2 linked regions of the Danio rerio genome follow. The protein of the gene in region 2 purifies or fractionates together with the protein of the main gene of each other region. This does not show direct contact. Links are inferred from orthologs where the notes say so. Each region holds a gene or a part of one and is shown on either strand. Other genes may lie near its edges.

Region 1 (6,024 bases), on a different chromosome or scaffold from region 2:
AAAATAAGTGACAAAATAAGTAATTTTACTTTTTATTAAACAATTACAAACTTTTTTTATTACAACAATTACAAAACAGAAGGAAATATCTTGTCACAAAATTGTAAAAATATATAAAAACAGCTAAACACTCAGCCCCTGAGTGGTTTAAAAAATAAAACATTTACACACAATTAAATTGTGGATAAGATAAACTTGTTCTAAAAATTACCAACAATTAACTTTACAATAAATAAAATAATATGGCAGTTTTATATATATATATATATATATATATATATATATATATATATATATATATATATATATATATATATATATATATATTTATATATATATATATATATATATATATATATTTATATATATATTTATATTTATATATATATATACATACATATATATATATATATATATATATATATATATATATATATATATATACAAATATATATAATAAATAAATAAATAAAATATAAATAATATAAATATAATAATAAATATAATAATATATATTTATAAATATATATATATATATATATATATATATATATATATATATATATATATATATATATATATATATATATATATATATATATATATATATATATAAATATATATTTTTTTTTTTTGCTTTGCATCGCACCTCCTGCGATGTGACTATTGCGGATGCGCACATCGCAATTTCGATGCTGAAACGATGTATCGTGCTGTGTGCAGCCCTAATGACTATACCAAGTAGAATAATGTAATAAGAAAATATCAGTTTGCAACGTCAAACAGCAAAACAAGCTGTTTTTAATGTCTAAAAATTAATGGAAGTGAATGAGACCGGAAGTCTCGAGCCAAAAAGATTCAAATGGCTGCTTCCACTCGTCGGCGAAGAATAAAGTGAATAAAGTGGGTCTCAGATTGTACAAGAAGCACTGCACTAAATTACATTTTCCCCGACATTCTTTGAAAATATTAACATTTTCTTATTTTACCCCAGTGGTGCTTCTGCGCTAGCCTGCCGATCCTGACAGGCACGTGCGAGTAAAAGACTTTTTGTCTCGTTTTACACTTGAGCAACTAAATAAATGTCAAAGTCTGTTTAACTGATTGTATTTTAATTGCATTACAACATCCATGCTGTAAAAGGAACCGTATAAAATGGAAAAAAGTCACATTAACCGTTCACTGGAAGTTTATCAGTATGGGAAGAACACTAGCTCCGCATATACCCTAATTTGAAAATTGTGCAAACATAGCAGCATGGAAATAGGTGATGTGTCTCAATGGTAACCTGATGGTAATTAACTCCACTGATAAAAGACAAAGTGGCGAGGCAGTGGCGCAGTAGGTAGTGCTGTCGCCTCACAGCAAGAAGGTTGCTGGTTCGAACCTCGGCTCAGTTAGCGTTTCTGTGTGGAGTTTGCATGTTCTCCCTGCCTTCGCGTGGGTTTCCTCCGGGTGCTCCGGTTTCCCCCACAGTCCAAAGACATGTGGTACAGGTGAATTGGGTAGGCTAAATTGTCCGTAGTGTATGAGTGTGTGTGTGTGGATGTTTTCCAGAGATGGGTTGCGGCTGGAAGGGCATCCGCTGCATAAAAACTTGCTGGATAAGTTGGTGGTTCATTCCACTGTGGCAACCCTGGATTAATAAAGGGACTAAGCCGACAAGAAAATGAATGAATAAATGATAAAAGACAAAGTCTGACGCTTTCCTGAAAAAAATGCTTGCTGCAAACAAACAGCGTTGCTGTATCGGCCCGGACAGGATCAGGGGGGAAAACATGCAACAAACCCTGTGGGTCATGGAAACAAACATATACGACCTGTGTCTCACCTCTGTCATTGGGTTTCCCAGCTTGGCAGTTACTATTAGCTAAGCGTAAATCATTAAATTAGGCCTTGTCCATTTCGCCTCTTGCTTTCGTGACCGTCACCTAGCAACGGCTGTAAACAAAACAGCAGCTCGATGACGCAAGCGTACCGGGGTTCAGAAGGAAAAAACAGTGTGAACACAAACCAGCTTAAGGCTGTTTATACTTCTGCATCAAGCGCACGCGTATGCTACAGCACAGCCTACGCGCTGACGCATAGCCCAACGCCGTGGCCATCGCTGACACGCACCTCTCAAAAAATGGAACTACACATCGCAACGACATGTAGCGCAAGCTCTGGGATTGGTTAGCTTGGAATCGCTGACAAGTGTGGGCGGGACCGAGAGCTGTGCGAGGCCGATGAAGCGATTGTTTACAAGTGTGGAGTCCCGTGATGGAGCTCCGGATGAAAGGTTTTGCTTTGTGTTTACCTTCCCTAGTAGCAAAGAATTCTGGCCCAGATTTGGCATAAAGCTGGCACAGCAGGCATTCATCCGGCACTGGCATACAGCATGTGGGCCAAACATGGCCCGGGTTTGGCAGAGGCGGCACACAAGATTTGGGCCAGATGAAAAACGTAGTATTTGGCCCAGATTTAAAAATTTGATAAGTGGGCCATGTGAGTTTGGCCAGTTTTGACCCACATTTAAAATACACTAAAATCATTTTTTAGTAAAGAAAATAAATTCTACCAATCAGGTCACTTTGAGAAAAAGCGTGCCCATAGTGTGCCTAAAGCGCATCACTCCATGGGTTTATCAATTTCATTGCAATCGTGACACACCAACCTATCTGGCCCAGTTCAGGCCCAGTTATGAGTTATTAACTTGGCTGAGACTTGGCCCAGATATGGTCCGTGTTTGGCCCTTGTCTGGAAGCCAGATTTGGTCCAGTCATGTACCGTAATTCACTGCGGCATGTGGGCCAAGCAAAACCTGATTGTGTGGGCCACAGCTGGGCCAGAGAAACTTTGCTATGTGGGTTATGATTAAAGTTGTTGCATGTCCGCCGGTTCCTGCCTCAAAATAAGCGAGTTTGAGCGTTCAGAAAAAACAAAACGCCAGCGAATAAACTCAACACAGAGGAACATTAACACCTCATTGCCGACAAGCTTTTCGGAAGTGTTATTGCAGAACATCAGAAATAGCGCGCAGAAGTATGAATGCACGGCTACGCGCGTTGCATGCGCCGTGGGTCACGCCGATCACTTGACGCAGAAGTATAAACCAGGCTGTACTCTCGTACTTATCAGGGGTTGCAGCAGCGGAATGAACCACCACAGAAAATAATATCACACAGATATTTAAAAAATTGGAGATGCGGTGGCGCAGTAGGTTGTGCTACTTACTGCATCGCCACCACATTTTCATCTTTTCACAAAGAAACTTTAGTCCTGTTTCGAATCTGCTGCTATGCTTTAAATTTAAAGTGACAGTAACCAAAACAGCATGATTTGGATCAAAGCCTAAAAGGGTCCATTTCAGAGAGATATAAAACATTATCTGTGTGGTATTTTGAGCTGAAACTTCACACACACACTCTAGAGACATAAGAGACTTATTTTACATCTTGTGTAAAGTGTCATAAGAGGACCCCTTTATTGAGCACACATTGACTCCTGTATAAATAAGAGCACACACACACACACACACACTGCAAGCACGTGAACTCGATCACAGATGCTCCATAAACTCCAGCACGCAAGAGCTTGTGCACTTATGAAGAAGTGGGCAGCTGTTATACTGCGTAAATGAGTATGTCAACTCGTGCACAGGTGAGCCTCTGAATTCCAGCACATGTAAACATGACATCTTCTCATCCGAGCACACAAACTCACAGTGGACTTCAAACGCATGCAACTTCTGGACAGAGGAACTGATTTGCAGTGAACTCCTGCACACAAGAGTGAAACATGCATCACGCTGGCTGGTTTGGGGGTGGACCGTTTGAAGTGCGTCCATGAAAACAAAAACAATCACACACACACACACGCAGGCTACAGAAAACAGCGCAATTCCCCCGACACATATGAAGCTCCTGCACACCCAGAGACAGCAGAAGCGCGTGCAGTGAGTGAAACGCGTCAATCAAACGCGTGTCTCTTACCCGTCTTTACGCTTCGCTTTATAAACATGCCCGTATGTGCCGCGACCCACTTTACAACCTTCATATTCAAACAGATCTTCCACTCTCTCCCTCTCGGCGGCGAGCTTCGTTTTGAAGTCGTAGTCCATTTTAACCCATAAATATTTCTTAATTTACAAGAAAATAAAATATTAATTATTACATGCATTAATTAAATGATCCGATCGTTTTTATTACCCCACCATTTCCTTGTTTGGGATTTTGGTCGGCTCCGCTTAACGGTCACGTGCTCGGTGACGTATTTTATTGTGGCGGGTTGCATTGTGGGGAGCGTAGTGCCGTTTGATGGAGCGCCAGCTCGAGTTGACGGCGGCAGGACATCTGAAAAACTACAGCGAACAAATCCTCCTTTCGTCTTTCCACTCTGATTCAAAACTAACATTTCTGAACGTTAGCGCTTGGAGTGTTTGCACAATGGCAGAAAAAAAGCTTATAATAACTAAACATAATTAATAAAATGTGTGGAATACATAACCTAACAGTTTTTTTCTTTTTCAAAGAGAGTGCTAGATAAATGGGAGTCAATTATTTGTGCAGTGGCTCAGCGTTATTCACCTTATTCTCAGCTGACGAGCGGGCGCTGCCATTTGAATCTTTTTGTCTCGCGACTTCCGGTCACATTCACTTCCATTCATTTTTTGACGTTAACAACTGCACGTTACGCTGCTTGATGTTGCAATTTAATATTTTCTTATTATATTATGCTACTTGGTCTGTGTAGTCATGCAAACATTTGTTTGTTGAGCAAGTAGTTTGGCCATTTTCTGTCGTTTATTATTCCTAGTCATTTCTCCCATAGGCGACTGAATCGGAAGTTCTAAGACAATCGCGAAAACAGGCGCACTTCCGCATTTTAGAATAAGGTCAATAGCAACGCAAATGTTTGCTCATCTATACAAGGACACACACTCACACACGCGCTACTACAGCGTGAACTCATACTTTTACGCAACATCCCGCTTGACTGATATCCGTTCAACCAATCGCTGTAGACCTGAGGGTGGCTCCCTCGCCGCGATTGGCAACGACGAGAATGACGTCGTCGGGTAGGTAATAAAAGCTCCGCGCAGACTGCCGTTCTGCGCTTACACAGTATGGCCGGCGATATTAGCTAGCACTCGCCTACGGTATTCTCTGTAAAAGGGAAGACGGTAAATACAAACAAAAAAATAAGGCAACTACATCTGGACTGCTCAAGGACTGTAACTAAGCTATTAAGTTATAACCGCCAACGAAGGACTACATAATTTGTGATTCCATCCGACGGTTTATTTTCTGTTGTTGGAGTCTGTTTGTCTCACGATGGAAGAGAGCAGTGCACACTTCTTCGAGGGGACCGAGAAGCTCCTGGAGGTGTGGTTCTCCCGGCAGGACGAAGCCAAAGGAACCGGGGATCTGCGCACAATCCCTAGGTGAGTGAGTCCGTCCGAGCCGCGGGTGCCTCGGGCGGAGCGGGGCTGGATTTCACCGAGCCAGACGCTCCGTTTGGGGCTTAAATCGTGTGTGAAACGCTGTGATAATGTCAGGAGGTCTGGCGGAGTGACATGTGGCGCAGGCTCTGACACCCGTGGCGTGATCAGCACTTCTGGCCGTTTTTGACACCATCCCCCTTTAGACTCATTCATTTCAGCTGTCAGGACTGCAGCTCAACTCCAGCCCCAGCGAGCTGCCCATATTGGCAGTATTAGCTCGTTCACTGCGTGCTGTTAATCACTGCAGTGCACGCGCGTTGTAAATCATCAGCTCGTTATGATAAACAATCGTCACGCTGATGTCGTCCACTTTGTCTTTTCGGTGTGTCGTTCAACATGTGACTCCGGAGGCCGTTTGCATCTGTCAGCGAGTTTCTGGAGCGATGATTCTCCGAGTTTCAGCCCTGCTGCTGTCTGCTTCATTTATTGATGAGCTGTACAGAGAATGCTGATCGATTAGCCAGTGGCTAGCGCTAGCTGATATGGCGCCATAGCAAACACACCTCCTCGCCCTGCATCAGTGCTGCTGTCTAAAATGC
Region 2 (5,997 bases):
ACATATATATATATATATATATATATATATATATATATACATACATACATACATATATACATATATATATATATATATATACATACATACATATATACATATATATATATATACACACACACATACATACATACATATATATACATATATATACACACACACACATATATATATATATATATACACACACACACACATATATATATATATACATACATACATCTATATATATATCTATCTATATATATATATATATATATATATATATATATACACACACACATACATACATACATATATACATATACACACACACATATACATATATATATATAGCTTAAAAATATTTACTATTTTCCCAAGTGTATATAACTACTACTGTAAGAAGATATCAGAGTTCGGTTCATACTTTCAGTATGTTGTTTATATAAAATGAGCCTGCTCCCTAGCAGGTTTGAGCTATCGGAACTGTTGCTATGACAACAATTTTCAGATCAGTTTTGAAGAATTAAACGATCCTTGATCATATCAAATCGTCAATAACCAAACCCAGCTAAACTGGAGTCATCCATGTGCGAATAACGGACCGCTAGCAACAACCAGTACAGCAAAGAAACAGCAACATGACAGCAACAGCAAGTTAGAAGGCTTAAAGAGAATGTCTGTTTCTAATGTATTGGAAGCAGATATTTACGTAGGAACAACACAACAACAAAATGAAGTGATGTTTAACACAATTTGCCGTCAGTTTAACAAGTCAACCACCTTTTATTAATAGATTTTGAACTGCAAAAAACCTGCACATTTTCCATACTGCTCTTTTTGTTTGCATAACACTTTGAATTTTGCTCATTATTTATTAAAGCATCTTTAAGTATTGAAATTCGAGATTCACAGACATTGTTTTTGACACATTATTTAAAATATGTGGCTAAAAATAGCTATCATCTTAGCTTTTTTTTCTCTTCTTTTTTTATTTTTGGTGGGGTCAGTAAAAAATTTGGCAGGGCAAGTAAAAATCTGAACCACTGGCCCGATCGGACCAGTAGAAAAAATCCATAGCGTTAAACCCTGAACAGGTCAAAGTTAAAAATAAAAACAAGCATGTCATACAATATATTTTTATTTGTTAAACATAACTTCTTTCAAAACAAGAGTATCAGCATAATGCTGGTGAGGGAAAAAAACAACATTTAATTTACAAAACATACCCAGAAGCTGACTATTAATGGTAGTAACACGCTGATGAACATTACACAAGGTAAAAAACAGAGGTCGCACAATAAAGACATGCGATGGGAAATCAGCTTTCTTTAGTCCAGAAACCGATGTGAAACAGTGAGTCTCCTGCAGTCGATGTAGGATGCGTATAAAATCCCTGCTGTGTCCCGACACTATAGTTCATGTTGTGGTTTTTTTCTGTCAGGATTCTGGAGGTGTTTGCTGACTCGGGGCTCCGCTGCGGGTGCGGAGCTGTGATTGGGCGATGTCTGCTAGTGCCGTCTGGATCTTCTCCAGCAGGGCGTCTCCTCTGTAAACCACTTCCTCCAGACGCGCTGCAGCTTCCTGGTTCTCCTCTTCCAGCTGTCGCAGACTGGCGGCCTAAGAAACGCATCAGAAATGACAACAAGTAGAGACGAGGTATAATGCTAATGTATTGTTGTTCACTCTGTACTTGGACAACATGGGTAGCACAGAGCCAGATGTGCAATATATGTGGCATGGGATGAGCAATTAACAGTAATCAAGTTTGTAATATGATTAATATCTAGCTAATTGGTCATTTGTGTATTATTGTCATGGTATATTTCAGTGTTTCTCAAATCCATTTCTGGGCTCCTACTGCTCTGTACATTCAGTGCAGCTTCTGGAGCTTTCTTCTAGCAAGATGATATTTATAATCAGGTCCATTATGTAGGCATAACTCAAAATGTGCAAAGCAGTGGCTCTCCAGAAATGGATATGAGATGCACAGGTTAAGCTGAGATTCATTTTTAATGCAACAATATAATTTACAGTTGATTTTCTTCTCTTTGAGTGCCAGAACTCAAAACCTGAAGTGCAGAACAACCATATTTTAAACAGCAGAAGGCTCAATAATTATATAATGATTCAATAATAATAATGTGGTGTTGGCCAGTGATACAGTGTGTGTGTGTATATAATAAATGTACCTGCAAGGCTGCAGTGGATTCTTCACTGGGCAGAGAGTCGATCAGCACATCAACATCTTTTGCTGTTCTTGCTATCAGCGCTGCAAACAGCTGAGCATATTCTAGAAAAAACACATCTTAGTATGTCAACTTCAAAACACATTATTTTCAAAGTGGATCACATTCAGATCAGTGCAGATGAGAGCACCTTCTGTGGGGTTTGAGGGCTGGTCTTTATTGATGGCCGTCTGGATGTTGCTGAAGGAGGCCGGTGGTGCGCACTGCTGCAGAACTCCAATCGCATTACAGAACTGATCCGCCAGCTGAAACACGACATGCAGTAAATCAGACATGCAGGACAATCCACTGTTACTTTCAGTTTACATGTTCTTTGACATGATGAGAAGTATTAGTACTCAGTGCTAAGATTGTGAATTATGTAATATATGAATAAACACAATTACATGTAATGTTTGATTAAACAACATTAATTTAAAACAATTTAAAAATAATTAATATTGCACTTTGAAGAACACAAAAAAAGAAATATTTAAGTGTACTTCACCAATATATAAGTAACAATAGCACTTACAGAAATGTATGTATATATTATATGTTATATTATAATTATATAACGGTGCCTTTTATATACACTTACTTAGATTATAATAGGACTATTATTTTCAGTTTCGTTTTATTTATAACAAGTAAAACATTTATTACAGTATCAAAACACATATGACAACAAACTTCACCTGTTCATTTGTTCACAAATTGCACGCTATGCTAACACTTCAGACGCTACAGTACATCAACATGACTTCTTAAGCAAATAATCCAATTTAATGAACCAGACTATTAAGTAAATCTGTTCGGAAGACATTTGCTGTGTTCTGCAGTTTCTGAAGTATAAAATAAACGTTAAATGAGTCTTACGGAGTTCACAGCATCCTGAAGCTGCGTTAGCCTGTCGGCCATGTTGGCTCCTCTTCACAGTTTCCGTTTCCGCCGAGCGCGTTCAATGCTACATCACGTGATACAGCGCAGCGTACAGCGAAAGCGCTCGTCTACTGAAAAGTTGTTGCATTTTCGCGCAAAGCAGGAGTGCTTGACACTTCCGGAGGCTGGATGTGAAGCTTCAACATGACTGCCGAATGTAAATGCTTCTGCTAAAGCGTGTTTATGGACTGGACTGATCCGGGAAAATGCCACTGAAGAGAGAATGTTTGGTTCTGCTCGTCTTGTCGTGGGTCGGTTCACTGCGCGCTCAGGATGAGAGTGAGTAACGTTAAACCCCTAATACCTTCTTTATTACGCTTGATAAAATATATAATCCCTATATAACGCACATATGTGGCAAATAACAGTTGTTTAAAGTGTGACTCAGCTCATTTAGCGACATATGAATCGAAATCAATCATGTCAACTATGTATTTCTAATCAATTAGTGATTGATATGATGTTGCAACTGATCTAAAGTTCACCGTTACGCTAAATAAACACAAACATCCCAAAATATCTTACTTATCACGCTTAATTAATTATATAATCCCTTTTAAACGCACACATGTGACAAATAATTCGTGTTTGTAGAGTGAATCAGCTGCCGACATATCAATCTGAAATAATAATCCTAAGAATGAAATGCTGATCAATTAGTGATCGATTCGTGTACTGATTTAAGGTCAATATATCAATCTGAAATAACCCTATTATTGTTACCACATAATAGCTAACATAGAGGTAACGTTGCTTTTATAGTCGCACATTCGTTTATTTAGCAGTCTCTGTATTGTTTACCATGTTAACGTTAACGTTACTTTGAATATTCGATAGACATTAGCAGGCAAGGATGACTTCAAAACAACATCGACAATGATTTCCCTATTTAGAATTTGTAAACATTACTTTTCTGAAATTACCTTATTGAGGAGAAAGTCTGAATATGTGAATATAAAACAGACTTTACCTCTATATAGCTAACTATTATTGTTCTAGTGTATTTGGGTTTTATGACTGCTTGTACTGTTTATAAACTGGACTACATTGATATTTATGAGGTGATGATTGCTGATAATGTAAATACACACACACACACACACACACACACACACACACACACACACACACACACACACACACACATACATACATACATGCATATATATGTGTGTGTGTGTATGTATATATGTGTTTGTGTGTGTGTGTGTGTATGTATATGTATATATATATATATATATATATGTATATATATATATATATATATATATATATATATATATTATAATTTAACACTTTAGTGAATCTTAGACAATGCATAAAATAATTAAATACATAAGTGACTGATTTATTTATTTGTTTAATTTTTCATACACAAGAAAGACATTCATTACGACTAATATAGTAAGAATATTAATCTCACACTTGGGAAGATAATAAGTTTACGGTAATCAGATGTATAAACTGAGCAAAAATATGCAATTTGGTGCTGATATAAACATTATTATACCCAAAACATTCAGAGGTCTGTCAGAGTACTTGCATAAAATGCATATAAATATTACTGTCACTCTATCGCAGAGTAATATGTCTAAATGCAATACTTTTTTTATTTTTTAAAAGCAATGCATTGTAATGATGAAGGAACAATTCTCAAAAATATATAAAATAGCAAATATCAAATTTGCTCAATTTACTTTTAATTATTTATTTTTATTAATATTTAAAGATATTCATCTATGTAAAGACACTGATCATGTTAATGATTTCTCGAATGTTTTTGTTTTAGCGAGTTTTTGATCTCTACTTCATTTGGGAAAATAAAAACATTATTTCTGAGAATTATTGTTTCTCAAAATTCATATTTGATACTCATATTTCAGCATTTATGGACATTTCAATGGTCAAGAAAAACAAAATTTAGTCTTTATTTTCATATTATAATATTGATATTCTTACATACAATTTTTATTTTTATTTTATAGAGATATATTTTAATATTATATAAGGTTTTACTTCTGATAAGTGATCTAAACCACAAGCTGAAATATTTGTGCAATTTAAATAAAATATATTTAACAAAAAAAAAAGCATAAACTATCAATCATGCGACACAGTGGCCTGTAGTAGATTGTGTGCAACAGGAAAGGTTTATTACTATTGTCATTTTTTAGACACTTGGAAACTAAGTATAAGTGTAATGCTTCACACCTCTGTCTGAATTTCCTGCTCGTCTTTCTGAAGCTGTTGTGGATTTAACACATTTTCAGTGTCTGTCAGTCATGATTTTGTGCCTCCTTAATAATGCTCTTTTATTTTGTAACAGTGGTGCGTTTTCATGCAGTTTTTCTCATTTAATTCCCCTCGTTCTTGCTTGCGCTGCACAGACAACAATGAAGCGCAGCAGCAATCCATCACATGCAATTTAGAAACTATTTCCTCATTCCTGAACAGACCCAGAGATTTTTTCTCGACTCAAAACAAACATTGTGTAGATTTTTAGTAACACTTTTAATTTAAATAAACGTGACCCTGAACTGTAAAACAAATCCTTAAATTAGCCGTTTTCCGTATTTTGTGATTCATGTTTTTATTTTCCCCCATTTATTTATGCTTTTGCATTGCATTATGGGATCCTGATCTTTCTTGATCAGTGTGTATTAACGTGTACATGTATCCATCTATCCGAGTATGTTTGTTGTTTATTTTGTTCTGTTTGCTTGCACTTTTTTTGCATTTGTTTATCTGTTTTTTTCTTTACATTTTACTTGATATTGATGTTGTTTCTCTATATTTGTTTATGTTTGTGTTACATGCATGTAGAAAAAGTGCAAATACAAATGAA

What was found. Proteins that work in one complex are often made in the same cells at the same time.
Region 1: the proteins of med21 (region 2) and cdk19 purify together in Homo sapiens (affinity purification with mass spectrometry; 6 studies listed by BioGRID and IntAct, counting the BioPlex papers as one, with this or other methods). This does not show direct contact. The link is inferred for Danio rerio from reciprocal best matches to the Homo sapiens genes MED21 and CDK19.

Annotation. Positions count from the first base shown.
Region 1 is NC_133195.1:3,038,261-3,044,284, forward strand, and holds the start of cdk19 (cyclin-dependent kinase 19), read right to left. Parts: upstream 4,231-6,024; 5' UTR 4,103-4,230; coding exon 3,975-4,102; intron 1-3,974. Other genes in the region: amd1 (S-adenosylmethionine decarboxylase proenzyme), read left to right, coding at 5,316-5,425.
Region 2 is NC_133179.1:2,081,504-2,087,500, reverse strand, and holds med21 (mediator of RNA polymerase II transcription subunit 21), read right to left. Parts: upstream 3,177-5,997; 5' UTR 3,132-3,176; coding exon 3,090-3,131; intron 2,477-3,089; coding exon 2,362-2,476; intron 2,276-2,361; coding exon 2,175-2,275; intron 1,603-2,174; coding exon 1,423-1,602; 3' UTR 1,108-1,422; downstream 1-1,107. UniProt on the Homo sapiens protein: Component of the Mediator complex, a coactivator involved in the regulated transcription of nearly all RNA polymerase II-dependent genes.